Oreochromis niloticus: one gene and its partners. The protein of the gene in region 4 purifies or fractionates together with the protein of the main gene of each other region. This does not show direct contact. Links are inferred from orthologs where the notes say so. Each region holds a gene or a part of one and is shown on either strand. Other genes may lie near its edges. The genes, in order: ncoa6, paxip1, pagr1 and kmt2cb.

Evidence for each region.
Region 1: the proteins of kmt2cb (region 4) and ncoa6 purify together in Homo sapiens (co-immunoprecipitation; 7 studies listed by BioGRID and IntAct, with this or other methods). This does not show direct contact. The link is inferred for Oreochromis niloticus from reciprocal best matches to the Homo sapiens genes KMT2C and NCOA6.
Region 2: the proteins of kmt2cb (region 4) and paxip1 purify together in Homo sapiens (affinity purification with mass spectrometry; 4 studies listed by BioGRID and IntAct, with this or other methods). This does not show direct contact. The link is inferred for Oreochromis niloticus from reciprocal best matches to the Homo sapiens genes KMT2C and PAXIP1.
Region 3: the proteins of kmt2cb (region 4) and pagr1 purify together in Homo sapiens (affinity purification with mass spectrometry; 3 studies listed by BioGRID and IntAct, with this or other methods). This does not show direct contact. The link is inferred for Oreochromis niloticus from reciprocal best matches to the Homo sapiens genes KMT2C and PAGR1.

The regions. Positions count from the first base shown.
Region 1 is NC_031984.2:16,681,454-16,689,680, forward strand, and holds the start of ncoa6 (nuclear receptor coactivator 6), read right to left. Parts: upstream 3,070-8,227; 5' UTR 2,940-3,069; intron 1-2,939. Other genes in the region: ggt7 (glutathione hydrolase 7), read right to left, coding at 5,685-5,857, 7,523-7,622, 7,728-7,865, 7,960-8,074, 8,184-8,227. UniProt on the Homo sapiens protein: Nuclear receptor coactivator that directly binds nuclear receptors and stimulates the transcriptional activities in a hormone-dependent fashion. Coactivates expression in an agonist- and AF2-dependent manner.
Region 2 is NC_031982.2:752,237-760,320, reverse strand, and holds the start of paxip1 (PAX-interacting protein 1), read left to right. Parts: upstream 1-5,079; 5' UTR 5,080-5,205; coding exon 5,206-5,286; intron 5,287-8,084.
Region 3 is NC_031973.2:16,564,879-16,572,474, reverse strand, and holds the start of pagr1 (PAXIP1-associated glutamate-rich protein 1), read right to left. Parts: upstream 3,175-7,596; 5' UTR 2,939-3,174; intron 2,694-2,938; 5' UTR 2,662-2,693; coding exon 2,490-2,661; intron 884-2,489; coding exon 547-883; intron 460-546; coding exon 371-459; intron 280-370; coding exon 44-279; 3' UTR 1-43. Other genes in the region: kinesin-like protein KIF22, read left to right, coding at 3,939-4,126, 4,234-4,361, 4,546-4,697, 5,811-6,020, 6,439-6,835, 7,315-7,435. UniProt on the Homo sapiens protein: Its association with the histone methyltransferase MLL2/MLL3 complex is suggesting a role in epigenetic transcriptional activation. However, in association with PAXIP1/PTIP is proposed to function at least in part independently of the MLL2/MLL3 complex.
Region 4 is NC_031982.2:16,677,733-16,685,997, reverse strand, and holds the start of kmt2cb (histone-lysine N-methyltransferase 2C), read right to left. Parts: upstream 3,173-8,265; 5' UTR 3,153-3,172; intron 2,400-3,152; exon of another isoform or gene 1,621-2,399; intron 1-1,620. UniProt on the Homo sapiens protein: Histone methyltransferase that catalyzes methyl group transfer from S-adenosyl-L-methionine to the epsilon-amino group of 'Lys-4' of histone H3 (H3K4).

The DNA of each region.
Region 1 (8,227 bases), on a different chromosome or scaffold from region 4:
GTAGCTCAGAGCCGAACCAATCACAGCCACAGCGTCACGTCACGTGACTTGTTACGTGCAGCACAAGTGTCAAGGCGCACATGTGTATTTGTTTGGGAAGCAGCCAGCCGGGCTGCCTGGGTAATGGAGGAAATGAGTGTGCCGACTAGAGAAAAATCAACCGAGAGCGTGACCAAAGGTTACCAAAGAAAAAACCGATGATGGTTCCAATGCTGGAGAGCTTGTCGAACAGAATGGCCACAGAAGTTCCGTAGTGTGAAGGTATTTCGGCTATTTCAAGTCTGACAAAAAACAGAGTAGCCCGCACTGTAAATTGTGCCGAAAGCAAGTCTGGAAATACAATAAAGCGGTGCATGCTCAATCTCTGGCTGAAAGCGCTAATTCGTCATTCGGCTTTTGTCAGACTAAAGTAACTGTTAAAACTGTTTGAAAAGCTAAGCTATACAACAAGGAGAGATTGAGAATTTCCTTTTAGTTCTCAGTTTATTTGATATTGACAAAAGTTAGTCAATTTTGTCTGTTCTTCTGTAAAACAAACTAAGATTTATTTTCTAGAATTAAAATTTTGTTTCTAAGTGGAATTGACAATTTAGTAGTCTGTTTTGTTTGTTCTATTTTGAAACTTAAACGCTTTAGCGGCTGCCTTTTGTGTAGTTTGCAATATTTGCCTTTATTTATCTGAAACTGAAGTCTCATGTTCCTTAAGTACATCTACCCTGTTGAACTTATTATGGGAAATAAATATTTAAATTAAAACAAGCTGCTAATTATTTCACATTTTACTTGTGAGCAACGGCACATTTAAATCTTACAAATGTAGTTATTTGGCTTATATCGTGATATATATCGTTATCGCCTGAAATGAAAAAAACATATCGTGATATGAAAAAATCTTATATCACCCAGCTCTACAAGCAGCCTGTTGCAAAAACATCATTTGTTCCCATGCCTTTGAGGTGAAACAAAAAAGATGTGTCCTTAAAAAGGTGAGGTACAACAGAAATGACAGTCCTAAACTAAACTACATAATGCAAAAGAAGAGTACAATTCTTAAGGAAAAAAGGCAGAGGTATGCCAAATTACACATGAAATGGACCAAAAACCAGAGTGATGAACTTACAGAGTGATGAACTGAAATTTGAAAGTTCTGCAGAGCTCTGGAGCGCAACTGTGACCAATTTGGTCACACATGTGACCTAATTTCAAAATGGTGTGACTAAAAAAAACATCCTAGGTCGCACCGGTGCAACCAGCCATTCGAGTAAAAGAAAAAAAAGTCTCAGAGTGGTCAACAACAGACACACATTATGCCCAGATCGTGGTCTAAACCAATCACAGATAGTCAAGGGCAGGACCTCTCTGATTGCCCGTGGTCCCGATATTCCTGTAAGCTTACATGTGTGTACGTTTGAAAGTGCAGGCAGATAGAGAGAGGCAAGTAGCCTAGGCTGATAGAAGTGGATGTAGAAAAGATGAAAAGAACGACTGATAACTTTTTCGTTAAGTTAAGGCATGATCTGTCTGAAATTCATAGCCAGTGCTCTGACATGGAGCCATCAACATCTCAGGTTATGTCTAATACTGGTCCGGAGACAGCATCAGATAATGAGCCACATATGATCAACTCCGAGCCAGAGCCCACTGAAAGTTTCCTGGCTAAGATACAGTAAAGCTGACAACATGATGCACTGCATTTACTTTTGTGAGTGTGGAAAGACCATGGCCGGCAATACTGCATTTGTGACTGGTGCTAATACGTTTCGAATTGATCAAGAAGGCCAAATTACAGTAGTTGGCCATCTGAGGGGCATGTGACAGCAATGGAGCATAGTCCATAAGATATCAAGCTGTTCTTTTGTGCTTGTGCACCTAAGAAAAGAAGTTAGGTGCACCAGTGCAAGCGTGGCAAAAGGTTAGTCTGTGTCAAATGCCAGATAATGTATGAGAGAAGTCAGAGAGAGAAAAAGTACCCACAACCATCTGTAAAACACAGTGGAAACTCTGTCTTGGTTTGGGGCGACATTGGAGAAAAGCACCAGATTTTCATCCACTATACAGTAGCACGGTGGCATGATTGTTAGGCCTGTTCCATAGAACTATTCCTAAAGGCTACTTAAGGAAATGACTTGAATAAAAGAAAGCTTGCCTAAGAGTTTACGCTGTGTTCAAGAATAAAGATGGTCATATCAAATGTTGACTTTCAAGTTTGTTAGAATTGTACAAACTCTGCTTTTACCTCATATACTGTATATTTCCGCAAGTTTAACTAAATTTCTGCATCATTTTCCAAGCAAACTGAACAGAAATAAGTAGTGGCTCAAGACAATGGCACAGTACAGCAAGTATGTAAATGGCCATCACTGCAAATCATACGTTAACACACCTGTAATACAATGACGTCACTTTGACCGGTGATGGTGAACTTATTATCGAAGACATGTCAAATAACAGAAAATTGCTCTGTAAGAGGCAGGGTTATTTAAAGTGCAGCTTAATTTACATTACTGCCAATTAAAGTCTTACAACACATACATTTACTGCCATGAACCGTAACTTGCTTTACAACAACGGCCCAGCAGTAGCACGGGCCTTAGCGCAAACATAAGCTAACGTAAAGCGATCAAAATCCCCAGGGCGACCACATATTCCCCCTATCCTATGCTGCTGTGCATTTTCTTGCCCTCTTGAGAACACTTAATAGCCGAAAGTAACACGGTTTTCACCACACTATGAAAGAGGATAAATTAACGTCAAGGCTGTCCCCCCTGGCTTCTCCAGAGGCTCCAGTTCGCGATCGTTAGCTACGTTAGCTGGATAGCACAGAAGGTAATTCAGCATGAATGCATTGAAACGCAATGCATTAGCTTTCCAATTCGCTAAGTTTAGCTTACAACATATTATGATAAGTAAAATAGGCCTAAGAAAAGCAAAAGCCTTACCACATATATTCATCTGAAAATAAGTTGAAGCAGTCGGCATCTGCTTGCTAGATTAGCTAACAAAACATGAATCAAATACAGTGTAAATTTACAGCCAAGTTACAACTTCCGGCGATGATTTTCAAAATAAAAACCGAGGAAGTAACGTTTTTTGTAATAAAAGTAACTGAAGTAAATAAAAAAAAATTACATAATTCTAAAATTTTAATAATAACAATAATAATAATAATAATAATTATTATTATTATTATTTCATAATTCGTTTTTGTAAAATAGCAGCTGAATAATTTTAAAAGGTAGTGGGGTTGTCACATTGCTAGTTACTACCACTTTAGAAAGCATTATGGAATTCTGTCAGTATCACACATTTGACCTGACAGTCCATTTTGGAGTGGTCAGTTTGTGGGAAAAACACACAACTTTGAGTAGAGAAAGTATTTTGTAATTTTCACGGGTATGACTAATGTTTATTGTTGTTTTTGTATTAATAGATCACATAATATTAGTAATTAAAAACTAGACCCCATATACCATTTGCTACTGATTTTAAGTTCAGGTCTTGTGTAATTTGACATCCCTAAACATTTTCTCTCCATTTCCCTTCCTTAATGATTTCTTGACAGAAACACTGAAACCATTTGCAATGATGCTTCAGTAGATGTATTAACTGCAGGAATAGATGCATCTGTCAGGTCTTGTGTCAGCTCTTTAGTGGATTTCTTTTCTCTTTTTGTTAAGGACACGTCTTTGAGATACTCTTTATCTGGGGTACGTAGTTTTCTCAGCCTGGCACTTCTTCTGTCCTCCACTTGTCCAGTTTACTCAATTTATTTTAAGGATACACTCCACACACTCTGGGAATCACCTTGTTAAATGTGAAAATACAATTTTATGCCAATCAATCTGCTATATTTTGCATTTTTCATAGTCAGTTAAAGATACAATTAAAAATCCTTTGCTAAGGTTTTTGTTGTTTGAATGATTCACAGGTCAGTGTCAAATGATTTAACTGAGAAAAACAGATTCCTCAGAAAACTGTGAGTTAAAAAGATAGGAACGAAAATGTGTGGTAACGTTCAAAGAAAAACTTTGAAAAGTCTTCAAAAACCCTGGAGAACTACTGCTCAAGATCACTTTTTAAAAATTACAAAAAAAAAAAAAATCTGACAGAAATAGGTGGTGGCTCAAGTGTTTTGCTCAGTGTATGAAGGCTCAAAAAGAGATAAACAATCCTTAATGTTTAGGATGTGTGCAAACATTTTATTTGTTGGGTCTGAACAGTGCTGATTTTTGTTAAAATCAGCAAACATGAACAAACAAAGAAACAAAGAGGCAGGTGCAACATCAGACTGTGCAAATGTGTGCCTTAAGGCATGGTACTCTGCAGTACTGGAAACAAGCATCAACAGTCATATTGCACTGGTGAGGGAGAAAACAAGGTGAAAACCCCAATTTGATTAGTCAGCACTGGCCATTCTGGATGCAAAGATCAAACACATTTTGTGTTCAAGTGCAATGATTTACAAAAGTTGCTGGCTCCTGAAATATTCTAGCTAATATAACAACAAAAGTAGGCAAAAAGTAAACAGAACATCCCTTCCTAAATATGTGCCGAGTGAATGCAATGCTCCAACAGTAGAAATAATGTGTACAGCACAACAAATGTTCATATAAAAATAGTCATTACATTCATTCCATCTCTAAAGAATTTGATTAATCCAAATTTAGGAACAAGTGTACCAGCTCTAAAAAAAAAAGAAAAAAAGCCTTCACAGGTTCAAAGTGAGAACAAAATCATGCAACAACTCAAATGTCTTAAATTATGTATTTAAATACGTTCACTCTACAGTAACTGATATTTAAAACCTTTTAAACGGAATCATATCCACTTGATGAGGGAAATTGATTGAGATAGGACGGTCTCATCACATTTGTGTACGACATATAATGCGTTTGCTAGTCTTAAAAATGGTCCAGAGAGTCACTGTTTGTTTGCAACAGTTAAAGCTGCAGCAGCTGTACCAAACAACATCTAATCACAGTTACACACCATATAACGAGCAGGAGAGTAAAAGCTTTAGCCTCTGTGTTCAGTTCAGGACAGTCTTGTTCATGTGTGACAATACACGGCTTAATCACTGGTGTAAATACTATCACCTTCACCACTCCATTTGATCTCACACGCGATCTGGTTTAATGGTGAAATGTAGTGCAAGAGATGAAAAGCAATCCGGTGACTCATATGCACTTTGCACCATGCATGTGCTGTTTAAATGGTGACTTCATGGCATCATTACTTTTGTTAATTTACATAAAACCTCTCGCTCAGGTCTAAACTAGCTGCTACACCCAATAATTTCTAACCTTTAAAGATTACAGTTTTCACCACCGACCTGGAGTGTGTTGGATAATAAGTTATGAGCACACCTAACATTTCTTTACCCTGCTCTGCATAATGCAGGCTGCAGACTGATGCCACTAAGGGTAAGGGTACTGAACACACATTTTCAACACTATGTACACCGTGACTGGACGTTACATGAGGATGTGGTAGAGTAATTGATATGCAAGATGGTGACCATTTTAGTATTCTTGTGAGCAAAACAAATTAGCTATCCAGGATCCCTTTCAGAATCTTTTGGTTATCTTTATCTGATCAGCAGCCTCCTCACTCTCTCTTTAGGCGTCATACAGAGTAAGTCTTACTATCTTGGCATTATATGTTTGTACGATTGGACGGATGCACTAAGGCATATTGGACATAGTAAGGGCAGAGGCATCAGCACTACGGGGGTCCTTCACTCCAATGATGAGGTCATTAGTTCTCCGTGTGCCCTCCACCAATGACAAAATATCTCTTTTCTCAACTATGTGACCTTTGGCTTCCAGCCCCTCCACATCCTCTTCTAAAAACTTGGCTGCAAGAGAGAAAGAGAAAGTGTGAGACAGAAGATGGTACTAACATAATGTTGAGCTAATAAAAACAGTAGCTGTGGGATCACAGTGTGGTTAAACTCTAACTGTACAAGGACCTAGTATATCAGGTTTGTAACCAAGCATGTGTTTTCTGGCTTTTGACTTATGACACAGATTCAAGGGCAAGATTAAGACAAGGTAGAAGGCAGCAGAGGCTCTGATTGAGCCAATGATCATCACTCTGCTGCTCATCTACCAGTCAATAAGCTCTGGTAGCTAAGAGATGGACCATTAATTCAACCATATGATAATTCATGATTCTACATTAGGATACCTTTGGATTAATACCAATAGATTCAGGCTACCTAGATTAGCTGGACACATTTTTCTTTTGTACTTTAGTGAACTGATTGGAGCCAAATATTGGGGTTTTTTTCACAAATATTTTTAAAAAATTTTTGTAGATTAGTTGGATCTATCTAGAAGCTTTCAGTTAGTAGTTTACCCCTCTTGTTAATATCAACAGAGCCAGAGGACAATAAAGTGTATTTCTAATAAACCAGATAATTCATCTGTCTGTTTTTTGTAACACAGTATTCATCTTCACAATTTTCCCAGGCAATCATAGATGTAGAGCTGCCAAGCTTTCTTCTTTTCTAAGAGCCCATGCACTAAGTTGCTAGATTACATGGACAGCCAGCAGAAGGTGTGTACACTGTGGTCATAACAGTTACCAACAATACTTAGGTAAGCTGAGACATTTAAATGAGGCTTAATTCTTACTAAGTGGCCCAAAGTGTGGCGAGAAAATATCCACTACATCTTTACACCACCAGGACCAGATCCATGAATTCATGTTGCCAAAGTATGACTCTGTTGTCTAAATGCTGCAGCACAAATCAAGACTCATCAGACTCATCAGAGCAGGCAATGCTTTTCTTCTGTAGTCCAACAAATTTCCCACGTGTGGGACTAATAAAGGTTATCTTATCTTATCTTAGTATCTGTTAGTCTATGTATAACTAATAAAGTGGCTACTGATTCAATATTATTATTCATAAATCCTGGACGTAACACAAAATTCTCGTGGGATTTCCACATATGAAATTAAGATTTAGGGGGTGGGTGTGGCTCAGGTCGTCCACTGATTGGAAGGTTGGTGGTTTGATCACCGGCCAAGCTGCTCTCCATGGATCAGTCTGAGTGTGAGGGTGTGTGCAAATGCAAGACAAAGCGCTTTAAGGCATAGAATGAAAGCGCTGTGTATGTGTGTGTGACTGAAAGAATTAGGCGTGTAGTAAAAACCACTTTGAGTGCTCAGTTAGAGAAGTGCTATATAAGTACCAGTCCAGTCCATTTATGCTACATCCTACTAAAACTACAGAAGACTGATCTTTTAACTAAGACACTTTACTGTTCCATGGAAACACTAAACCTTGGCATCTGCTTTCCATGACAGCAGAAGTACCTGCTGCTTTTCCTGCTCCTCCTCTACTTTGCATAGTGTACACAGAGAACACAACCTGAAGACAAAATAAGCAGTGGTACAAGGGTCCTACATGTCTCTTTGCATGGTGTTTACTGCATGTCATAGCAGTAATCATGAACCAACACTGTTATGCTTGGATCAAACCTGATAAAAGTGTCTATCAGTAAGAAAAACTCACAGTCCACTAGGAGGGTGTTGGGCTCCAGCTGCGGGTGGAGTCTTCCATATGCTAAACTGTCACTCATGTTTTTACGTGAAGACAAAACATTCATCAGCACCTATGAAGGATGAGAATAACATCAAAGTAAACTTCTGTCAACGTGTATTTCCACACTGATGAAAATAACTACGATAGTTACAAATTCCTCCAGTAATTAAGCAACCTGTGTTATGCCACTGAGAGCCTTCTCTCCATTGGATGATCCAACAGCTACGTATGTGCCACATAACCCCACGGCTGGCCTCACTGCTGTGGGCATCAAGAAGGACATGGGTCTTTTCCCAGGGTGGAGGTTGTTATGCTACACCAACCAAAAGAAAACAACATCCATGAGAGATTCTGCAAATGTGTTAAGAACAAATACATTAACACTGAAACAAAAAAGTTGCAATTACTGGGTTAGGCGATGAGCCCTGTGTTTTATTAGTCCATGAGAAGTCCAGAATCTGACTATTCAAAAGGATTCCTGAAGGAGTCACTATCCCACTGCCAAAGGGTTTGTTTAACGAACTAAAACAGACAGAAGTCTTAATTTGCATTATTCATGAATTTTAATCAACTCTTAAACATCTTTAGGATTTGCTTAAATCCCCTACAGCCATTTTAAAGGGTTGCATACCTCATTACAGACACAATGAGGTCATCTGGGCCCATGACCATGAC
Region 2 (8,084 bases), about 16 Mb from region 4:
CATCGCGACAGACGCTAGGGCAATGCTTCATGGGCTGCCTCTGTCGACCGACACACCGAGCCCCCGACAGCGAGCAGTGACGCCTGCAACGCCAGCTAAGGTACCGAAATACAACGGGCTAACCCCGCTAGAGCCCTACCTCTCACAAGTATGGCTAGCCGCGAGGCATAATGGCTGGAGCGACGAAGAGGCTGCTACACACTTAGCGCTAGCATTGGAAGGAGATGCACTGCAGGTACTCCTTGACCTAGCCCCGTCAGAGCAGCATGAGCTCTAGACCCTCACCATAGCACTCGAGAGGCGATTCGGGCAGCGGCACTCCACTGATCAGAGCAGAGAGCAGCTGACCAACCGGAGCCGTCGGCCGGGGGAGAGCCTGGGCACCTTTGCAGCGGACGTGTTGCTGCATGCTCGTCGTGGCTACCCAGAGTTCCCAGCAGCAGCCCGTGAGGAGCTTAGCCTGCATGCTTTTCTGCGAGGACTTTTTCCAGAGCGACTACGTCAACACGTCCGCCTGGCCATGCCTCAAATTCTCCGTGAGGCGCTCCTTGAGGCTGAGAGGGCCGAGCTGGTGTTCACCTCGCAACCTAACCAGCAGGTGCCCCCCCAAACTGCCCCCAAATCAGAGTCGCAGACTGCGACGGGGAGGGGAGGTCGTCGAGATATGCCAGTTGCAACCCTCGGTGCCCCGGAGGCGTCCCCGTCGACCGACCGACCGCTGCTACCAGTGCGATGAGCCTGGCCACGTGGCGCGTGACTGCCCAGCACCTGCCCCGAAGACCAGGACTACGCAGCCTCAGGGAAACAGGGAGGGAGCGGTGTAGTGAGGGGACCACCGCTCCAGCTTCCTGCCCCCCTCCAAGGACGATGCACGGTGGTGGGCCGAGTTGGGCACCTCAAGTGACTCTACCTGAGCTGCTGTGTTGAGGACCTGCCATGCCAGGCCCTGGTGGACACGGGGTCCACCATTTCCCTGATACGACCTGGCGTGCTCCCTGGAACGTCCGGGCCATTGGTGAAGGGTTGGTCGCCCACCGACACCCAGCTGATGACGGTGACGGGTGAGAGGGCTGATATGCGGGGGAAGAAACCGTTGCGGGTCCGAGTGAAGGACCTGGAGCTGGTGCACGACTTCTGGCTTGCTGACATTCAAGACCAGTGCATCATCGGCCTTGATCTGCTGACCCGCTGGGGGGCCTGCGTCAACACCGCAAAGCGGGATATCACTCTTGGCACAGAGACTCTTGCCCTCCAGTGCGGTCAAAAGCAGCGAGCGGAGGGAACCCGAGCCAGACGAGACAGGCGTCGGGCGGCTGCCGCTCAGCAGATTTCGGGTGCCGGTGGCTCCGGGTCATCTCTACGCACCTCAGCCCCGGCCTCTCAGCCCAACAAATCTCCCTCGACCGAGACAACCGAGGCTGTTGGTGACCTGTGGCAGCGCAGCAGCGTAGGTCTCAACGTTGACCAGTGCCAGCGGTTGAGGTGCCTCCTGGACGAGAATGTGGACATCTGTGCCGCCAGTGACAAAGACTGCAGGCAGATGGGCCTGGTCCAGCACACCATCGACACAGGCTCTGCTCAACCCATCCGTCTGCGCCCACACCGGCTGCCCCTCTCCAAACGGCAGGTGGCACAGGAAAAGATCCATGAGATGGCTGCGGCTGGGGTGATCGAGCCGTCCAACAGCCCATGGGCGGCACCCGTGGTCCTGGTGGGGAAGAAGGATGGCAGCCCGAGGTTCTGCGTGGATTTTCGCCGTCTCAATGCAGTCACCGAGAAGGACTCGTACCCGCTTCCACGGATCGACGAGGCCCTGGATTACGTTACCGGCTCCAGCTGGTTCAGCTCCCTCGACCTACGCAGCAGCTACTGGCAGGTGGAGCTAGCCCCCGAAGCAAGGCCTAAGACTGCATTCACCATTGGACAGGGGCTGTGGCAGTTCAGGGTCATGCCATTTGGGCTCTGCAATGCGCCAGCGACGTTTGAGAGGCTGATGGAGAGGGTGCTCGTGAACATCCCTCGTAGCCGCTGTGTTGTGTACCTGGATGACCTGTTGGTGCACGGTGGCGACTTCGACAGTGCACTGTCTCACCTGAGCGAGGTCTTCAGCGCCATCCGTTGAGCTGGGCTGCGGCTCAACCCTGCGAAGTGCCAGCTGTTGGCGAGAGAGACTACGTTCTTGGGCCATGTGATCAGCGCTCAAAGTATCGCCACCGATTCCGCAAAGGTGGCTGCGGTCTGGGACTGGCCGACTCCCTCGAACGTCAAAGAACTGCGGAGCTTCCTGGGCCTAGCCTCCTACTGCCGTCGGTTCATCAAGGGGTTCGCGACGATAGCCAGCCCCCTCCACCACCTGACTGACAAGGGCCAGCCGTTTGGCTGGGGTGATGCCTGTGCTGCGGCTTTTGCACAGCTGAAGGAGGCCCTCACCAGAGCCCCAGTTCTGGCCTACCCCGACGCCCGGCAACCTTTCATTGTGGACACTGACACTAGCAATGTAGGAGTCGGGGCGGTCCTTTCCCAGCAGGGCGAGGCCGGAGAACGAGTGGTGGCATACTTCAGCCGTGCTCTGGGGCGAGCCGAGAGGAACTACTGCGTGACCCGGCGGGAGCTGCTGGCCGTAGTGCTAGCGGTGCGGCACTTCTGGCCATAACTGCACAGTTGCCGGTTCCTCCTGCGCACTGACCATGCATCTCTGACCTGGCTCCTGAACTTCAAACACCCAGAAGGTCAGGTGGCCCGCTGGCTGGAGGTCCTTCAGGGCTACGACTTCGAGATCCAGCATCGGGCAGGTCGGCAGCATGGCAACGCTGATGCCCTCTCCAGACGGCCCTGCATGGCCGTTGAGTGCCGCTACTGTCTGCGACAGGAGGAGCGGGCTCAGGAGGCCCTGGGGGTGGCTACTGCTCAGGCCACAGCCAGCGGAGGGGGTGGCTCCCACTGACAACGCAGCAGCTGAAGCGGGAGCAGGAGGCCGACGCGACGTTGGGTCAGGTGGGGGCCTGGCTGGAGGCGGCGCAACGCCCAGACTGGATGGGGGTGTCGGGTCAGGAGCCCGAGGTGAAGGCCTACTACTCCCAGCACAACAACCTGGAGACCCACGACGGCCTCCTGTACCAGAGATGGCGGGCCCCCGGTCAGGGCAGAGATCTCCTGCAGCTGTTGGTGCCTCAGTCGCTGCGGTGGCAGGTGCTTGAGCTTGTCCACGGCTCGGTGGGGGCAGGCCACTATGGGAACGCCAAAACTCTCCGCCGCCTCAGGGGACGGTTCTACTGGCCTGGCTGTCGACGGGATGTGGAACTTCACGTGCACTGCTGTGACACCTGCACGGCGCAGAAGGGCCCCACTCAACGCTCCACTGCCCCCCTTCAGCAGTACTTGGTGGGGGCCCCGATGGAGCGAGTGGGAGTGGACGTCCTAGGGCCTTTCCCCGTCACGGAGTCAGGGAACCGGTACGTGCTGGTGGCGATGGACTATTTCACAAAGTGGCCGGAGGCCTACGCGGTGCCGGACCAGAGTGCGACGACGACGGCAGAGAGGCTGGTGGAGGAGATGTTCGCCCGTTTTGGGGTCCCGGCTGAGCTCCACAGTGACCAGGGGCGCAACTTCGAATCGAAGGTGTTCGGGGAGATTTGCCGGTGGCTGGGGGTGGAGAAGACAAGAACCACACCGCTCCACCCGCAAAGCGACGGCTTGGTTGAGCGTTTTAACCGCACACTGGCTACCCAGCTCGCCATTTTCACCAGCCGCCACCAGCGGGATTGGGACCGACATCTGCCCCTGGTCCTTTGGTCGTATCGGACTGTGGTTCAGGAGTCCAGCCAGTGCACGCCTGCCGCTTTGATGTTTGGGCGGGAGCTCCGGACGCCTGTGGATCTGGTGTTTGGGTCCCCCCCGAGCCGGAGATTGACGGTGGGCCAGAGATGGACTACTACAGGAGGCTGAGGGAGCGGCTGCAGGTGGTTCACGACTATACCCGCCAGGCCCAGGCCAGCGCCGGAGTACGACAGAAAAGGGCCTACAACACCAAGTGCCGGGGGGAGGCTTTTGTGCCTGGCGACAAGGTTTGGGTGTACTGCCCGGTTCGCAAGAGAGGAGTGTCCCCAAACTGTGCAGTCACTGGCAAGGGCCGGCGGAGGTCGTGGAGCGGCTAACGGAAGTGGTGTACCGTATCCGCATGCCGGGCCCGGGCGCATGGTGGTGTTGCACCGGGACAGGCTTTCACCGTACCGACCGCTCGCTCCGGCAGACGCCGGGGCAGGGGATGCTGGTGACACCCCAGGTTCTGATCTGAGTGACTTGCGCCAGAAGAAGGCACCCGGACACTTACAGGACTTTGTGTGGGGTAATGGGGCTGTTGGGGACGACTGACCCCTTAGGTGGGGGCTATGTAGCAGGCCAGGGCTGTTCGGGGTTTGTTCTGTTATTACAGTTATGTGTTTGTTGTCATGTTGTTATGGTGACGAGTGACCGCTCTCTCGGCACTGTGTTTCCGGTGAGAGAGCGCCTTTTTTTGTTGTTTATGTTGTTGCCGCGCTGAGGAGGGTGGTAGCGGCAGTGTTCTGGGCCGGTTATAAAATAAACGGGTGCTCCCAAATACACCTTTGTCTCCTTCGTGACTGAGCTCGCCACAATATTTATATCAATATTTTTGATATGACAGTTTATTCTGTTGGTAGTATTAAATATAGGATGAAATGAATGCTTTTATTTGGTTCTCAACGGCTTTCCACGGTCAGGCTTTTTTGTGTGTGTGTTTGTCGTTTTTCGAAGCATTCTATTGCATTTGTCCTAAAGTCAACCCAGCTCAGTCTGTTTGAGATAATCTGGTTTCACGTTTAGATCAAAACAATAACCTTTACGTCACAGGGGGGTTATGTGTCTATTTGAAAACATATTTGTAAATTCCCGTCGCCGTTATTCTGTTATATGAGTTCTTTTACCCCAGTAATATTTACGATAAATTACATTTAGCGATGCAATGTTTAGAGAGATATAAAAACCAAAGCGACTGAATACAGAAGTGTTGATTTGCGACAGACCCCCCTCAGCAAGCACATAATGCTGCAGTCCAAGGCGCGCTAAGCGATTTGGCGCTAGTGTGTGTCCGGTGTTCTGTAATCAGCTGCTGCAGCGCAGGCACTTTACACTTTGAGCTTCTGGCTGTTTTTGAATCATACAGTGCCGCGACCTTCATGGCCAGTCATGTCTGAAGAAGAGATCAAGGTTTCCGATGAGCTTTTCAAAGATGTCAAATTCTACGTGGTTGGGGATATTGATCAAAAGGTGAGGTTCTGGACGTTAGCAGCTTTAGCCAAGTTGGTAGCCTGTGCTAACTAGCTAGAGTCATTGACTGTAAAGCAGGTGATGCAAGAGAAGCTAAGTAGTAGCTAAGTATTTGAGCTGTCTTTAGCTGACCTCTGTGAGCCCACGTAACGGTGCTTGAGACTTTCAAGTGACGCTCGCTCACTGAATACTTTGTGCAGAAGCTCCTTCAAACTGCACTTTCACGCAGCCCTTTAGCACTAGCTGCGAGTTTTGCATGTTAGCTGCTAGCTTCTAGCTTGCGGTTTGTGAGGCTCAGGCTTGCTGTTGCCGCTTGTTAGCATTTTTTTTCTAAACGATTAGCCTCAGTAATATTGCTTGGCACTTTTGATAAGCAGTGAAACGCTGCACTGCCAGTGTATTGTGTTACTTTTCATCAACCTATGACTGTCAGCATCTTCCTCTGTTATTCGCCCATTACTGCGCATGTGTCCGCAATTCCACTCGTTGGTACTGAACACCTGTGGTAAAGAGCTGTCCTTCCTGTCAAATGGCACTATCCAGACGCTTTGAATCTGCACCGAGAACAAACAATACAATTATCTTTTACGGTCTTCTCATGGATTGATGTCTTATTGGGATTGCTCCAAGCAAAACCTCACATTCTAAAATCTAGTGGGTCGTGTTGAAGTCTGGCTGCGGTTAAAGGCTCAGTTACACTTATTCAGAGCAGAGAGGTGTGGTGGACAGTGCCGTGTCTTCCTTTAGAATGAAGTTGTGCACGGTAGGAGAGATAAAAAATTTATCAAAAAAAGTATTTCAGTTTTTCTTATATCAGTATCATTCACTGAAAAATTACAGTAACCAGCTCCGTCTTTGTTTATTATGGCACACAGGTAATAATTGTAATATTATTATCAAACATGTTAATATTAACACTAGATTTGGGTGGAGCACAGGGCTTCTCATCTTTTTCATTTCTTAAATGATCGGTTGTTAGTGCTTCATGCAGTCCATGTTAAGGGATGTGACAGACCAATTTTCAGCCAGTGCGAAGGGGCTTTAATTAGAGCTGGGCGATATAAGATTTTTTCATATCACGATATGTTTTTTTCATTTCAGGCGATAACGATATATATCACGATATAAGCCAAATAACTATATTTGTAAGATTTAAATGTGCCGTTGCTCACAAGTAAAATGTGAAATAATTAGCAGCTTGTTTTAATTAAAATATTTATTTCCCATAATAAGTTCAACAGGGTAGATGTACTTAAGGAACATGAGACTTCAGTTTCAGATAAAGGCAAATATTGTAAACTACACAAAAGGCAGCCGCTAAAGCGTTTAAGTTTCAAAATAGAACAAACAAAACAGACCACTAAATTGTCGATTCCACTTAGAAACAAAATTTTAATTCTAAAAATAAATCTTAGGTCGTTTTACAGAAGAACAGACAAAATTGACTAACTTTTGTCAATATCAAATAAACTGAGAACTAAAAGGAAATTCTCAGGCTACGTCCACACGTACACAGGTATTTTTGAAAACGGAGATTTTCCGTTTTCGTTTTAAAAAATAATCCCGTCCACACGTAAACGCAGAAATGAAGGAAAACACTGCTAGGAACATGCCAAAGCAACAGGTGGCGATATATTCCTAACCGTGTAGAAATGTTGGCCAATCAGAAGTCTAGAAGCCTCGGTAGGAAATAGTAAACAAAGATGGGGCATAGAAACAGAACCGAGTCGTATGTGTGGAGGGACAGTAACTATGTGTGTATATGTAAGCATTTAAACACTGCAGAGAGTACAATTAACAGTAACAGTATTGTAGAAATTCATTTCACCCAAACAATAACGTGGCGCACAGTGTGACGTCAAAAAAGGCGCACACCTTTGACGCTGCGTTTTCTCCGTTTTTCTTGTCCACACGTAAATGCAAAAACGGAGTTTTCGAAAATATCCACCCTGGCAGGCGTTTTTAGAAATCTCCGTTTTCAGTGACTGAAAACGCCGTTTACGTGTGGACGAAAGGTGCAAACGCATAGAAAAATCTGCGTTTTCAAAAATACCCGGGTACGTGTGGACGTAGCATCAATCTCTCCTTGTTGTACAGCTTAGCTTTTCAAACAGTTTTAACAGTTACTTTAGTCTGACAAAAGCCGAATGACGAATTAGCGCTTTCAGTCAGAGACTGAGCATGCACCGCTTTATTGTATTTCCAGACTTGCTTTCGGCACAATTTACAGTGCGCGCTACTCTGTTTTTTGTCAGACTTGAAATAGCCGAAATACCTTCACACTACGGAACTTCTGTGGCCCTTCCGTTCGACAAGCTCTCCAGCATTGGAACTATCATCTGTTTTTTCTTCGGTAACCTTCGCTCACGCTCTCGGTTGATTTTTCTCTAGTCGGCAAACTCATTTCCTTCATTACCTGGGCGGCCCGGCTGCAAAAACAAATACACATGTGCGCCTTGGCGCTTGTGCTGTACGTAACAAGTCATGTGACGTGACGCTGCGGCTGTGATTGGTTCGGCTCTGCGCTACTTAATTTGGATTGGCTGTTCTTTTCTTTTTTTTTTAAGAGGACAAGAGAGATGAGGTCTATCGCAATAGTTTAATTTTTCTATCGAGAAAAAGTTATTTCGCAATACATATCGTTATCGTTTTATCGCCCAGCTCTAGCTTTAATGGCGGTTTAGTCTTGAAGATTGCATTGAACAAATATATTTTTGCACATATTTACAGTCACGATAATATGCTGACATTTACACCCTAAACCAGCAAGGTTTTTGGTCTGCCAGCAACAGATCTGA
Region 3 (7,596 bases), on a different chromosome or scaffold from region 4:
GCTTTAAATGCCTTTGGGCAAGTCTTTGTCTCAAAAGAAACCATCAGTATCTCCTCTGTCGTGGTGAGAAGATGGTGTTGGGGTTGCTGTCCCGTTCCCTCTCCTTCTCCCGCTCCCTCTGGCTGTTTGGAGAAAGGGCTTCCTCCAGCTTCTTGTCACTCTTGAAGAGATCTCTTCCTGTGCGCATGATGTGCTCCTCAATCTTGCGGTGTCGCTTCATGTCTGACAATACTTTGTCCAGCCGAGCTTCCCTTCTAACAGAGGAGCGGGCAGAAGATCCTGGGAGACAACAGGCAAAAATCATTATTAATAAAAGAAAAAAACCCTCCAGATTATAAAGAGACACCACATATAATTGATTGTGACATACCTGGAGTCCTGCGTCGGCTTAGGAAGGCATTTTTTGGAGTGGTTTGCATTTGCTCCTCATCAAAGTCAAACTCAGTTGGAGTTGGAGGCCTGAAAAACAAAACATGGTTAACAACCAAAAGCACTCAAACCAAACTCCTTAATCCTGAAATGACCAAAAGGAAAAGCAACACTGACTTGCGTTCCCTCTCCTGCCTCTCCCGTTCCTTGGCTGCCTCCTCCTCTTCGTCTCTTTCGGGCGAGGAGGTCTGTTCAGGCGTGGGGGGCCTTCTAGGAAGGGGCACAAAGTTCAATTCCAGCATCTCCCCTTTAGCGAGGAGCTCATAGAGTCTTTTGATCTCTGCGGGAGGAGGCACCCAGTTTTTGGGGTCCTCCATTTCCTCGTCGCTGTACGGAAGCTCCCAGTCACCGTCCGCCTCTTCGGCTTTCTGTTTTCCATCTTCAGCCTCCACCCCTGCGTCTGCCTGAGATTCATCCTGCTGCGCCTTTCCTCCCACTGCATCTGTGTTCCCATCTGAGAAAAAACACGTACACAGTCAGTTTAAAATCTCTTTTAAAAACAATAATGAAGCGACATTTTATTGTGGATTAACCCTATACCTGGCTTTGATGTAGCTCCTCCCCCTTAGTTTAGAGCTACGTGCTTTTGTTTTGATTGGCTGCCCCTCAAAAGGTCGGAACAGCAGGTCGTGTGGCTGATGTGTGAGGCGACCACATAAAGAATATTGGCTTCCACTGACAGATCCATGTGTAGATTGTAGGCTGGACTTTTGAAGGGGATTACTTGTACATACACTGACCTCAATATGTGAAAGTTTAGCCATGTTTAATAGGAGCAATCAGCACTGCTAAAAGTACTGTATGTATGACAGAAAGCAATACATAATAGGTCCAATTTAAACATCTTTCAAACACACTGCTTTGACTTCTCTGTGACAAGCTGTACGTAGGGACGGACTGATATGTCAACAAAACATCAACATCAGACCCACTGATGGGCATCGGGGTGCAAATAGCAAAACTATTGGAAATCAGTGGTGACATTTATTGATGGCAGGAGCCAACATTTCTCTCGTGTGTAATATATTCTCTGCTGCAAGTGATAAAATAGCCAAAAGACTTGAAGTGATCAAGTACATCAGGGCACAGAACAACACAGACTTTTCTAATGAAGGCTGAATCAGATACTGAGCAATTCTGGCTTTACTGAATAGTTTCATAGAAACTATTTTTTAACTTACATTTTTTTTTAATTAAAAGACCTCCAACTTTCTTAAAGTTCACAATTGGATTGATTATAATATTAATATTTTGTAATGTTTTTTTGTTTTTGTTTTGTTCAATAGATGGTTTTTGCATTTTATTGCCGTCTTTTAACCCTGGAAAACAGTTTGGACGACTATGTTGCTTTTTAAAGTGCTCTAGATTGGATAATCTAGGTATAATGACGCAGACTCAAAAAGATACTTAATTTCTGTACTTTAAATATACATCCCCATCATAAATCCAGTTGACTACAGTCTATATACCATATATATATATATATATATATATATATATATATATATATATATATATATATATGAGCAAATACATTACAGTTAAAAACAGAAACATCAGAAATCACTTTTGGACACAACACTGGTGCTCACAGCTTATATCTAGTCCCAGCAGTCTGTTTGCTTTTTCTTTTTAACTTTCATACAAAGAACTGGCTCAGGGTGTACCACACCAATGCCAACTCCAGCACCACACCCACGCCAGACACTGGGTGAATAAGCATTTAAGAAAATGGGTGGATATATTCACTCATTTTGCCTTTTGTGCCAATTTGTTAAAATGTAAAGACTTAGGAAGCCGACAAGGTAAGTACCTACTAATAAACCGGTAGATAACTGACCGTGTTTCAGCTGTGCTTTGCTTCCTTGTATTTCCTGCACACTCCTGCATGACACTTGTGCATTTGTCCTTGGTGATACTTCCTACTCACACTAGTTACCTGTACAGGACATGCTTGTCCACACTGAAGACTTTTAACCTGATAATGAAACTTCCTGTCTACTGTGCGTCCTTTCACTACACCTGCCATGCATGCATCTATCTTTACACGTGTACTGTACCTGTATCCTCCTTGGCTGTTGCGTCGTCCTCCTCTGCGCTCCCTGCCATCTCCGTATCCGGTTGCTCCGTGCTGTCCTCGTCCTCTTTGCCCTCTGCAGCTTCCTCTGAGTCCTTCATGTTCAGAACCTCTATGCCCTCTTTCAGTGAGGTGTCTGTGGCCTCAGCTTGCATGCTTCCTGCTGGTGAAGTTTCTCGCAACAGATCTGCTGAACAGAAGCCTGCCATTTAGATCTAGAAAACATTTTAGTGCAGCTGAAACTAACTTAAGGTATACACAAGTGTGTGGGATAAGAGGATTTTTTAGAGGCTATAACTTTTAGCCGTAGCTGTTTACTTTTGTTAAAGGATAAGTGAACGTATAGTCAACTAAAACAAGCGGCTAGCTAACGTCAGGCCTAACCGCCAGCTATTTCTTAAACAGTAGTTAGTCTGCTAATAACATACGTGCCTTAAATCGTCATTAACGGCTTCTTCCGGATCAGTGCTGCTGTGAAAGCGATTAAAACGTTGAGTCAAATACTTTTCCAGTAAAAACTCCCCATGAGAGTCACTAAGTATAACAAACGCTTATGCACAGACGTAAACATAGCGCCATTTTGGCTGTAGGGATCTGCCTGAGCCTCTGCACCGCTGGGGCGGGGGGAGCTTCACCTCACTGTTGATACAACGTCATGTGGATAATCCACACTCACTACGAGCGGACACTCCAGCAGTAGAGGGGAATGGTTTGGAGATCTACGCTCGACGCGACTTCCTGCACACTGCGCAAGCGCGAGCAGGTCTTAGGGCAGACAGGGCGAAATTTGTATTAGCGTCCTTTGCTTTTCTGTTCATGTTGTTCTTGTTGTTTTTAAAGCGTGCGTATATGTACGTTTGTGTAGCGTAAACTTGACAAATGTAATCAGAAGAGCCACAAATCTCATTAATATGGACGCATGACGTAAAACAGGCGCCAGTATTTGTGCGAGTTCTGATTGGTTTACGGCCGTTTCCGGTTTCTGCGCTCTGCATTTGAAAAAGTGTTCGGTTAGTTCCTCAAGTTTTTAAGGGACGCGGTCGCCATTGTTAAAACCAAGCGTCCGAAATGTTGCTGGAAGGACAATTTAGGGCATAACAAAGGTGTGGCTTGTCTCGGACATTCTCACATAATATCGGTAAGCATATAGCAGGCTTTGGCTTTGGGACTATTATTAGCCAGGCGAGAAGCATCCGTTCGCGAGGGAAGTTATGACTGAGCTATCCAGCTTTAGCTTGTTATTAGCCGAGAGAGGCTTTCGTCAGTAAGGAAAACACAGCTTATCGGGAGAGGTTTCATTTGAGTGGCATGCGTTTTCATGCAGTGCTGTTATAAACAAACTGTCTTTTTCAAGCACGTTCGTGGCTAACTAGTTAGCTTATTTGTATTTTTTTTGTACTTTATTCGGGCCTTTCTTTGTGGAAGCGCAATAATGGCGACGCGTGTGGCGGTATCAGATGGAGGAAACAAGAAGACATCCAGGGTCCGCGTAGCTGTTCGTCTGCGACCCTATATGAACAAAGAAGACGAGAAAAGCGAGGGACCGTGTGTAAGAGGCCTGGACTCTCAAAACCTGGAGATAATCAACTGGAGGAACGCCACAGAAACTGTTAAATACCAGTCAGTGCCTTCATAATAATCTGTTATGTATATATGTATGTCGGTAAAGATTTCAGTGATTGTCTAGCTGTAAATATTAAGAGAGCTGTGGTTGTTGTTGTTTTTAGCTTCGACGTTTTTCATGGTGAACAAACGACACAGCAAGAAGTTTTCCTCTCATCAGTGAAGCCCATTCTGCCGCACATCTTGAACGGACAGAATGCCAGTGTGTTTGCTTATGGACCAACAGGAGCTGGTATGTTGAAGCACAGTCTACAGGGTTTCAAGAAACGTGTATATTAGCTGTGCACATGCATTTATAAATTAAGCTGTTAAGACTTGAGAGAGGTCACAATGATTTTTCTCATTTTGTTTATAGATATTTTGGCTCCCCAAAGAGACCATTTTCTAACTCTAGGCTTTTGCATCCTCTTTCACAGGTAAGACCCACACTATGCTGGGGAGTTCAGAGCAGCCGGGTGTGATTCCCCGAGCTGTTCGTGAGGTCTTCAAGCTAGTGAAAGCCAAGGATGAGAGTGATGGATGGGACTACAGCATTGGCATGTCGTATTTGGAAATTTACAATGAGAAGGTATGGTTGTTTAAGTAGACACAGCGTACAATTACTTGTGACTTTCTGTTCATGATTAAGTAAAGTAATCTAGATGGTGGTCGTTCAAGTTGAGGTGTTAGAAAACATTGTCTTTACTTTTAAGAAGTGTGTTTCTGCGTTTTTTAGCATTATAGAGCGCGGGGGGGGATTCGTGGTTGTTGTGTTTTTGTTTTTTTCTAGATTTAAATGGATCAAATGAACTTTTGGTACTTACTTGTTCCAAAGGTTGTAAAATAGCCTCAAATGTCTCCAAACAGCCGAGGTATTGAATCTTGGTTACCTTAATTGACAGAACTCTATGAATTTCCCTGTTATGTCACTTTAGCAAGTGAAACTTGTAGTGTGGTCAATCTTTAATACCTGATTAAAACCCTGTATTGAAAATAAAACTGCCTTTATGTTCATTTTAAAAGTGGAAATATTTCCGTTTCTAATGGATAATTCTCTAGAAATTCTATTAATACCCATAGAAGATTTTATATTGACCAAAAACTGACTCCCTTAATTCTGCAAATTTAAGCCAACAATATTATTATGCAGATGGTGTAGTCCAAACTAAGATGTTTTGGCACATGCAGGGTAGTCTTGGCCCCACCCAGCAGAGCTGTATGTGAGAATGCAGATATCTGACGCAGTCGGATGGGATGTTAGCCAGCCTTTAACCTGCCAGCTCTCTAATAAAAAAAACAGTGTCAGATTGGACAGCTCTTACCTGCTATATTCATGCAGTTCCCTTTTGTAGACACCATCCACTACATCTCGGTAGTATGAAACCTTTTGAAGCAGACTTATTTCCTGTTGCGCTACATGTCAAAATGAACAAATGTGGAAAATATCTGAATTGGTTTACCTAAAATTTCATGTGTGAAAACATCTTCAGCCTACCCATTCAGTTTCAGATCACTGGCCCTCAGCATGATTTAATAAAACAAGGGGGGTGCACATAGCTTTTTAACCTCCAGTCTTCTTGAATTTACTGCAAAAGCTTCTAACTGCATTTTCCACAGCATGTCCTCTGAACCTTTAAATGTACCTTTTTTCTTTTAGTGTGCATCATTCATCAATTACCGCTTTCCTTTCTTGTTCTCTCAGGTGCTTGATCTTCTGTCGCCAAACTCCCATGATTTACCCATCAGAGAGGACAAAGACAAGAACATCCTTATCCCTGGCCTGACACATATGAACATCACCAACTTCGCAGATTTTGACAAACACTTTGTCCCTGCGACGCTCAACCGTACTACAGCTTCTACTAAGCTAAACCAGCGTTCCAGCCGCAGCCACGCTATCCTTCTCATTAAGGTTTGATGGTCTTGGTGTAGTTTATTGAACTACTTTATTCGTTAGTGTCAAATGGACAGCCAGACAGCATCTTAAGCAGGTCGTGGTCTCTGAGCAGTAGGCCAGGATTTGGTAGCTGGTGCTGAAATCAATTCTCTTTTGCAACAGTCCCACTAGCAACTTCTGTGCTTCCTGGGATTACTATGGGAGAGAAACACAAACCATTATCTGCTGTCCTTTTTCTTCATTTATTCGTTGTTTTTTCCCTTTATTGTCATGCTTTTTCATAAAATGTAATCCTCTTTTTTTTTTTTTTTTTTTTTTTTTTTTTTCTTTTTCTTCTCCTTTCACCCCATGACTCTTCACCACCTCCTTGTTTTTCTTGCCTGACTTCTGTGCCGCTGCTGCTTTTCTGTTCTTAATCTCTGCAATGACATAGGTTGTGCGGACTCAGCAGCAACTTCCCCACAGACAACAGACAGGCAAACTGTACTTGGTCGATTTGGCTGGCTCAGAGGACAACCGCCGCACCGGCAACCAGGGCATCCGTCTGAAGGAGAGCGGTGCCATCAACCTGTCTCTCTTCACACTCAGCAAAGTTGTGGACTCTCTAAACTCAGGCACTTCGGTGCGCGTGCCGTACAGGGACAGTAAACTGACACGGCTTCTGCAGGACTCTCTGGGAGGCTCGGCACACTCCGTCATGATCACCAATATTGCACCAGAGTACAAATATTATTTTGACACCTTCAGTGCACTCAACTTTGCGGCCAAATCCAAGCTCATTGTGAACAAACCCTTCACCCGTGAAACTGTGGCTGTGCCTGTGCTGCCAGGTGAGTGAAACTGGGTGAGAAAAGCACCCACTTTTTTCAGTCATGGGACACTAAAGTATAAAAAGGCATTTTTATTGGGAAAGAGGAAGAGTCTTGTCACGATTTGAGCCAAAGGCCAACAGGGGGCACCCATGTCACATCCCAGAGGATGGTGGCTAACAGTAAACAGCTAACAGTAAGCATCCATCTGACCCAGCAGTTTGGGTCAGATGGATGCTTATTTTTGTTTTTTTGTAAAACTGGTGCTCCACTTGCATTTTTGCCGTTCTGATGTTCTCTTTCCTACTGCATTCTCTCAAAGATGGTCCTCATGTTTACCTGCTGCTGTTGGCTTTAATTCAAGCACTGCAATGCAACTTTGACTGATGCTGTGCCATTTTTGTCTGAGTTGCTTTACACTCTAGAGAGCCCCCACAGACACCGTTGCTACAGTGCACTGAATACTAAACTGTTAATTTTCCATCTGCCTTCGTCTTCAGTGAAGCGGTCCAGAGAGGAACGAGAGACAGGGGGGTCTGGCACTGAGCCACAGAAGAAGAAGCATAAAGAGGAGAAGAAATCCGAACACGATGGTTCCTCGCCCTCTACACGTAACCACAGGTTATAGACCAGACTGATTATTTGTTTGGCTTGTATTATGATGTCTGACTGAATTGAAAGGCTTTGTGACGGAGAAAAATGCTGTTGTGTGTAGGTGTGTCTGGAATGCCTGTAAACATGACTTTTTGATACCTGACTTGTTTCAAAGCCCCGATCGTACT
Region 4 (8,265 bases):
TATCAACATCAAACACTTTTGGTCAGTTTTTTTATTTATTTTTGAAATAAGCATCGCACAGACAGAAAATGTGCACAATTTTGCGACACATACTAAATAATAAAAGCAAACTCATTCCAAACTGCAGACCCATAGTCCTTTGGTCAGTAAAGCATAAAATTGTGTCTCATCAATCCCCATTATGTGCAGTAACAGCACTCCACATCTATATAATAATGTCCATGAGGATACATGCAGTTCCAGATTTAATACATGCGATCATAATAAACTGTGCTACATTAAACCTTTTTAAATTCAGTGCCATCCATGCACTAAACACCGCAGACAGTGTGGTCAGAAATGGCTTAAATTATTAGTTAGGCTTTTTCAGTGACTCAGAAGAGATCTCACTTTGACAAACACCACCTTTCGCTGCTAGTCTGTGGCAATTCAACATCTTTCTATCAATTATATTGATTTCAACAGCCTTTAAGACGTCGTCCAACACCAAAACTGAACACAAAATACAAACCCTCTATAATAATGTTGAGACTGCACAAACCCCAAGTTAGGAATGTTACCTCTGAGATAAAAAACCTGAAGACATTGTCTCTTTAAACACTGTAGGATCCGATAAGAAGTCGTCGGATAAGGAGCATTTTTGTACAACAAGCAAAGGCTCAAAGGTGACGAGAACTTTACTTGGGGCATCTGAGGTTAAGATCCGGTAACTACAAGGCAGTCACGACCACCACGGGAGCAGCTGAAAACATGCTAACGTTAGCTTTTGTTGACCGAAGCTTGGGCACAAAGCAGCTGCATCCAGCTAACGACTGCTAGCTTGTTGTGCTCAACTCTGTCGCCTTTTCTTCGTCGACCACAGACAAAAGTAACGTTGACGTCGACTAAATTTAACAGAAATTGGAAAAATAAACGAAGCCATTTATCATTGTTAACAACCGAAAGAGGACTGTACTTGGCTTTAGAGCCATTATCCCGTAAGACAACTTTGAAAGAGAGGGCCATCTATAGCAAACAGGTTACCTATGGTTGCAGTTAGTTGTCCAACTCATACTTGCAACTAACGCCTACGCCAAAACAGTGAAAAACGCTTCACCTCTTTGTTTTCCCAATCCTAGTGTTAAACATGTCCATGGCTCATAGAAAACTTGTCGAGCGACCTTAAAAAACACTACCCCTCCTAATAGCCAGCTTCAAACCGGGTGCAAGGCAAAGGGGAGCATTTGAGCCCAACACACACACACAAAGGCTCGGTCTATTCAATGAAACGGAACTATTCTAGGGAACTACAATGATGCACAAAAAGTGAAAACGATACGTTACACAACCACCCAGGTTCTGGTTTCTTTCTCTTTTAGCTTCCAACTAACGATAGCCGTGTGTTTTCGCACTGAATAGTGCAGTAAATGCGTTAATATTTGCTTATATGGCACCCATGAAATGTTCAATTGAATGTTCCGTTCCGTTGAATAGTCTGAGTCATGAAAGCCAAGGCGGCGACAAACCCCCAACATCAGACTGGAGAAGGATAAGGTTGGCTCAGCCTTACGTGAAAAGGTAAATTCCCAACAAACTCAGCTTACATTGAAGGAAAAGGCCAAAGAGGCAAATATAGCTTACCTTCCAGCCCTATGAATAGAGAGTTATCCTCTTCATGTCCAAAATAAGGGGGATGAAACGTCGCACTTATCACCCAGCTAGCTAGCAAGCTAATGGAGCTAGCTAGCCTCTCTCCAATGAAGCAACACCGCAGTTCTCAAAAATGCACAACGCATATCATTATATTCCAGCGCTGCAATGTTATTCCCAACTTTGCCCATTTGATGGAGAAGCGGATGATGTAAATCCAACAGAAAACCGCTTCATTGGCACACGCATCTGCGGGGATCACTTTCCTTTCTCCAATGACAGCTGTCGTCGCACGAGTTCGGCTTATATAGCTAGTTGGTGTTAGCCACCCAAGTCGACAGCCAATAATTTTACCATTAACGTGTAAACATAACGACCTCGAAATCCAAGCGGCTGCTAAAGTCAATGCTCCGTGAGCCAAACTTTAAGTAGGAATCCTCGGGTAAAGTGTAGCGACCCGCAAAGCAACAGAAAAAAAAAAGCTGGATGCCGACCGCTGGGGGTTGGCAACTGGTTCTATTTTCTTCAGCTGCGACAAGCTGCGGGACCAAGCGGCCAGTTTAGGAGAGACTCACAGTCATCCTGCCACGCAGTAACAACCGCCTCCAAAAGACATGTAAAAACAAACATTAGCTTGCCAAAAACAACATCTCGCCTGCCGCGCTGACCGAGCTGCAAAATGATTATGAAATAGCACAAAATTAAGTTGAAGATGACGCTTCGGGGCGCTCTGTAACGGTGGCCATATCTAATGATAAGTGGCACCGAAGCACAGCCCCCCCTCTCCAGGCTCCTCAAAAACTAGATCCGCCTCCTCCTCCCCCCGAACAGCACAACTACGGGCACAAATCTTTCAGAATCGACGGGGCTCGCCGAGAAAGGGATGTTTCGCGAGTGTGAGGCGTGTTTAAAAAGACCGATTAGAAGACGCAACGAGAAATAGCAGATAAACCGTTTTACAATTTCTTCAAAATACTCTCTGACCCTGCGGAGGGATATAAGCATTTAGTAAATAAAATAATGGCTAGGGAGGGCCCGAAAAGATGGAGCCTGGAGTTTTTTCCGTTTTGGAGTTGGAGCTGTTAGAAACCATTGGTGCTTGAGCTCATGCAAATCTTTGCCAGCTGTAGCTATAGAGAATCCAACAGTCGGAAGGCTTCCTCATAGCCGGGGGAAAATACACAAAAAATGGATTAACTTTAATACGCCATGGAGCTGGTGGTTTAGGCTGAATGCGAATGTACCTCAGCTGCTCCCATACGACGGCGTCTCTACTCCTGCTTTACACCCCCTACACACACACATACACACGCCCAGTATACAGATTTAAGCGTTGCATTATGTGTTAGATAAAGGTACTCAACAAACCGGCCGACCCACCGTACATTCAGGGGTTAACTTTCGGAAAAGACCCCAGGGGTCGGCTTTCAGCGGCTGTAGATAATATGTAATAGAGGCAGAGAATGTTGTGTCTCTGGTTAGATTTTGCTTTCGATTTTAAGGCTCACTTAACTACAACTTACCAGAGTTTCTTCGAGTGAAGCCCCTCAGAAAATTAACTGGAAATAAACGCAGCCCTATTCCTTTAAATGGTAAACCTTGGCACCTCCTTCCTAAACTGAGAGCTCCCCCTGCTGGCTAATCTAAAGTGTTTATTATTATTGTTATTGTTATTATTATTATCATTATTATTATTATGATTATTATTATTGTTGGTAGCAATCATTTCGACATAGTTCAAATAAATCGCGCATTAAAAAATGTGGCAAATGAAAGCAAGCACTCGGAAAATCAGAGAAATATAATGACTGTAGAGGCTTTTAAGGTGTGTATAAGGCAGATATGTGCAGTTGTATTTGCAGTAATTAACTCTTAACTCCACTGATCATCAGTGGGAGTATCTGCATGTTAGACAAGCCACCATCACTGGTATCAACACACCAAATGAGGGAGTGTGCTTTGTAAGAATGGTTTTCGTCCTTACAGTAGAATTACAGAGACAATGCAAAGCAGCACAGAAACTGTTTTCCAGGGCTTCTCCTTTACATAATCACTCATTAGTTTGTTTACTCTCAATAGTGAGCTCTGGGCTACAGAGTCAGAAATCTAGAATAATTTGTCTAACAGCACAATAGAGGTTGTGTATTATAATCCGTGTGTGTTATCACATATGCAAGAGACAGCCAAACAGGCAACCTAAAAGCATGGAATCTGATAATGCTAACAATACATCAAGCAAATATAAACGAGAACAAAGGGCAGGGAGGACTAACCTGAACATCTACAATACAGGCAAAATACAAATGGGAAGTTAGATGTGATGTGCATTTAAGATAGGTGATAGGTTTGTAGTGGTCAATATATGGACATATGGACATTGAGAAGCCCTGCCTTCAAATACAGTCTGAATTTCCAAGCACTGAAATGATCACTCTGAAGAATATGCTAGTTTTAATGATGTGATGCGTCATTTTTAAATGTGCCATTAACTCATTTATAATAAAGTTTTTGTCTGTTGATCCATTGAGTAGGATGGACCTTTGGCTGCAGGATAGGGAAAAAAAGAAGCAGTTGCCAGTCAGATGCTTTCCAGATGGTACTGCACAGTGGATCAAAATCCGATGGCACTTTTATTCATTATTCTAACAACTTTTACAGGAGCCCCTGCACCCCTGGCTGAAATTCAGGCTCCTTGTTATACAGTTGGCTGTAGACACTCACTGTTGTACCTCTCTCCTGATCTCCTCCATATATATTTGATGATAATTTGAGTCAGAAATGTTTAATTTGCTTTTATCACTCTGTTGCCACTGATTTAAGTCCAGTTCTTGTGTAATTTTGCATACCCTGTTCTTCTCTCCCTGTTCCTTAACAACTACCCTTCAATTTCTGAGGCTTCAGTGAATAGATAGATGCATCTCTCAGGCCCTGTGTCAGGTCTATGCTGGATTTGTCCTCGTTTCTTAACAATATGAATTTCAGATACTGTTTTTCTGCTGTAGAGTTTGTTTGTTTGTTTTAGGTCTGCCACTTCTTCTTCTGTCCTCGTCTTGTTCTTTTTCCTCAAATTTTTTGAAGAACACACTGCACACCATACAGACATATCCCAACCCTTTGGCAAGTCGTCTTTGAGGATTTTGCTTAATTCAACAAAAGTAATAAACAAAATATGTGTTTTTATGTCAGGCTGCTAGGAACAAAGTGTTGAAAGATACAATTTATAATGACTCTTTGGAAAGTTAACATTCAACCCTTGAGTTAGATGCCTTTTTTTTTTACACTTGAATGATTCATAGGTGAGTTTTAAGTGCTGTAACAAACAATAACATTGTTCTGGGCTGGAAGTGAGTGAAAACATTGACTGACCTTCAGAAAATTTACAAGAAAGTTTTGCTCCTTGGAAGTAAAACAAAGAAATGATGGGTTTCTCATGACCTTTTGCTTATACACATATATTTATTCAGGACTGCACAGTGGCAGGGTGTTAGTTCAGGGTTTATCTCCATCTTTCTGTGTGGAGTTTGGATGTTCTCCCTGCATTTTTGTAGGTTCTCACCAGGTAATCTGGCTTCCTCCCACAGTCCAAAAATATGCAGTTAGTGGAATTAGGTTAATTGGTGATTCTAAATTGCCCATAGATGTGAGTGGGAATGGTTGTCTGTGTCTTTGTGTTAGCCCTGTGATAAACTCGTGACCTATACCAGGTGTACCCTGCCTCTATGGTAGCTGGGACAGGCTCCAGCCCCCTCCAACCCTGAATTGAATAAATGGAAGAAAATGGACTGATGGAAGTGTATGTTTTCAGCTTTAATTCACAGGGTTTAACAAACCTTTTGCATTAACTGGTTAGGAATTAGAGACATTTTTATATGTAGTTCTTCATTTTCAAAAGGCTCAAAAGTAATTGGACAAACTAACATAATTTTAAGTATAAGAAAAAAAATCATTTTATTTAATAAGTCCCTGAGGTCCAGAACCCATGAAAATCACCAAATGTTGTGCTTCCTCCCATGAGATGCTAGAGCATAATCTTTCCTGCAGCTGCCTTCAGTTTCTGTGCGATTGTGGGTCTTTCTGCCTTTAGTTTTGTGACTGAAAAGCTGTTCTGAGATCAGGTGACGCACTTGGCCATTGAAGAAGATCGTATTTCTTTGCCTCAAGAAACTTTTTTTTTTTTTTTTTTTTTGCAGCATTCTTTGAGTGATTATGCATTTGCACTGTGAAGCATTGCCCACTCTTTTCCAGCATTTGGCTGACTCTGAGCAGTGAGTATAGCCCTGTGCATTTCACAATTCATCCTTCACAACTTAACCATCATCAATAAACACTAGTGACCCGGCTCCACTGGCAGGCATACATGGCCGTGCCCTAACATTTCCCCCAACACGTTTGACAGATGGGACACAAACGTGCTACACTTTGGATCATTTGAACTTTTCCTTTTCTTCTCCGTAATTACTGGGTACTACATGATCTTAGTTTCATCTGTTCAAAGAATTTGTAAGTTTTTTTCCAGAACTGGAAAGGTGTTGCTGAGACAGCTTAACTTGATATATATTGGACCAGGTTTTGTGAAGTCAAATTTCTGGTCAGCAGTATTTCCTGACAGCACGTAAGGATGAGACACGACACTCATCGGTATCGCTTTCTAAAATGTGACCTTTGTGTGGGTGTACGTTCACACCGTTAACCACCCATTGACCTAATTACCTTGAAAACACAAAGCTCCTGTTTAGCGTTGCATCGCTGATACTCCTGTTGGCCTAATTCCTTCATTTACAAACTCAACACTGACTGATCCACAGAGACTCAAGACTGTAATTACTAGAGCGACTCTGTACTTAATACTGATTTAAAACGACTGTTTTCGTATGCAATGAAAGCAATAATGACAGTAACATCATGTTTTATACTGGAAGTGAATTTAAATTTAAAGAGATCACACAGCTTTTGTCAAAAATCATCCTTCTGGCCAACATATAGCTTGACTCATTATACCACTAAAAGTACATGCATTTTTAGTATGACAAACACTGGCTATGTTTCAGTGTAACTGTGTGCCAGCGCAAACAAAAGCAGCACCCCCAAACCACTGATTTTTTTATTTACACCTGTGGTTATTTCTGCCACGTGTCAAAACCTCTTCCATAAAAATCCCTGATGTAATAAACAAGCAAGCCTTTCAGCTCTTTCAATGTCAAATAAAACACAAAAACCTCTTTAATATTTGTTGCTCTATACACACCAGCCACTTACACAGTGAGGAATCCTGCTTTACCACCATATGAGATATATAAACTATTCTTTAAGATTTAACAAGCATGTAATTTAATTTGCAAAGCTTAGACATGGTGGAAATGCTCCAAAAAGCTCATTAGTGTGGGATAAAGAAGTATTTTGGTATGTTGCAGACAGAGGGCAGCATGGCTCTACTGTTTCACACAACACTGGAAACAGGAACAGGATCAAATTGCTCTCTGTAATTCAACATGAAAAATGCAACCTGTCTGTTTTATTTCTACCAATACAATATATTTTACATTTTCTTTTCTTTTTTTTGCTATTGTTTATCAATTTATTCAAATAGTACCTAGTTTATAGTGTTTAATAAGGAGCATCCTGCCTATTAATGTAAAGTAATATTAGTAAAAAGAGATAATTAAATGTGCTCAAAGACAAACATTTGTGTGCAGTCTTCATAAAGATTTGTTTCTCGTCAGGTAACCGATGGCAAGGTGAAGCATTCAAACTCAGTTTGTCTTCATGCACATTTCCTCATCTTGCAATATAATTCAGTGTACATTTATGCTGTAGGTTTATATAATTATTAGCAGATAAATGTGCTTTAATACAATAAGTCACATCAGCAAAACAAAGCATAATTTCATGGCGAATGGATAAATGCTCAAGGAGCTCTTTTCTGGTTGTTGAGCTTAATTGGTGCCCTTTGGCTATCAGCATTAAGGACTAATTTTCAAGAGAATACTGTGACTGTAAGATAGAATAGGCTTTTTTTTAGGCTATTCAGCCATCACATTGCTAGCCTTGCAAGTCATCATTTGGGTATAAAGTGTTGCAGTGGATTTTTTTTATGTTGTTCCTGCAAAATAATTGCCTGTTTATGTTGGCTGCTGTTTTCAATATAGATGCTATACGTGCAGTTTACAGACCATTGCATGCAAACTGTTATGTGTCATGAGCTACCATGTAGGACAACCCGTATGTATATAAAACACACCATTACTGAGAAATATAGTTGACATAGACTCAGCAATATATATAAAAAAAACAAACAGGCCAACATTATCTGCGAAAATGTTTAAAAAGAAGCAGATCGTTATTTTTGCTGCTGCAACTAGAAAAAAACACTGCTGATAATATCAGTATTTCAGATAACAACCATCCTGCTTTTCAGTTTTATCCTGTATTTCTTTTAGGAGTCTTTTAGAAACAAAGCACCAGTGCTGCCTAAGGTAGAGCAGGAGGCAGCTGCAGAGTAAAAGGACAGACAGCTACCAGGTGAGCAGATGGATCATATTAATATAATAGAAGAGAGAAGAAACATGAAACCGAATGCTGGCTGAGCTCTTTCTCTGCAGAAGAACAGCTATTGTTGAATCGAACCCACAATAGTTC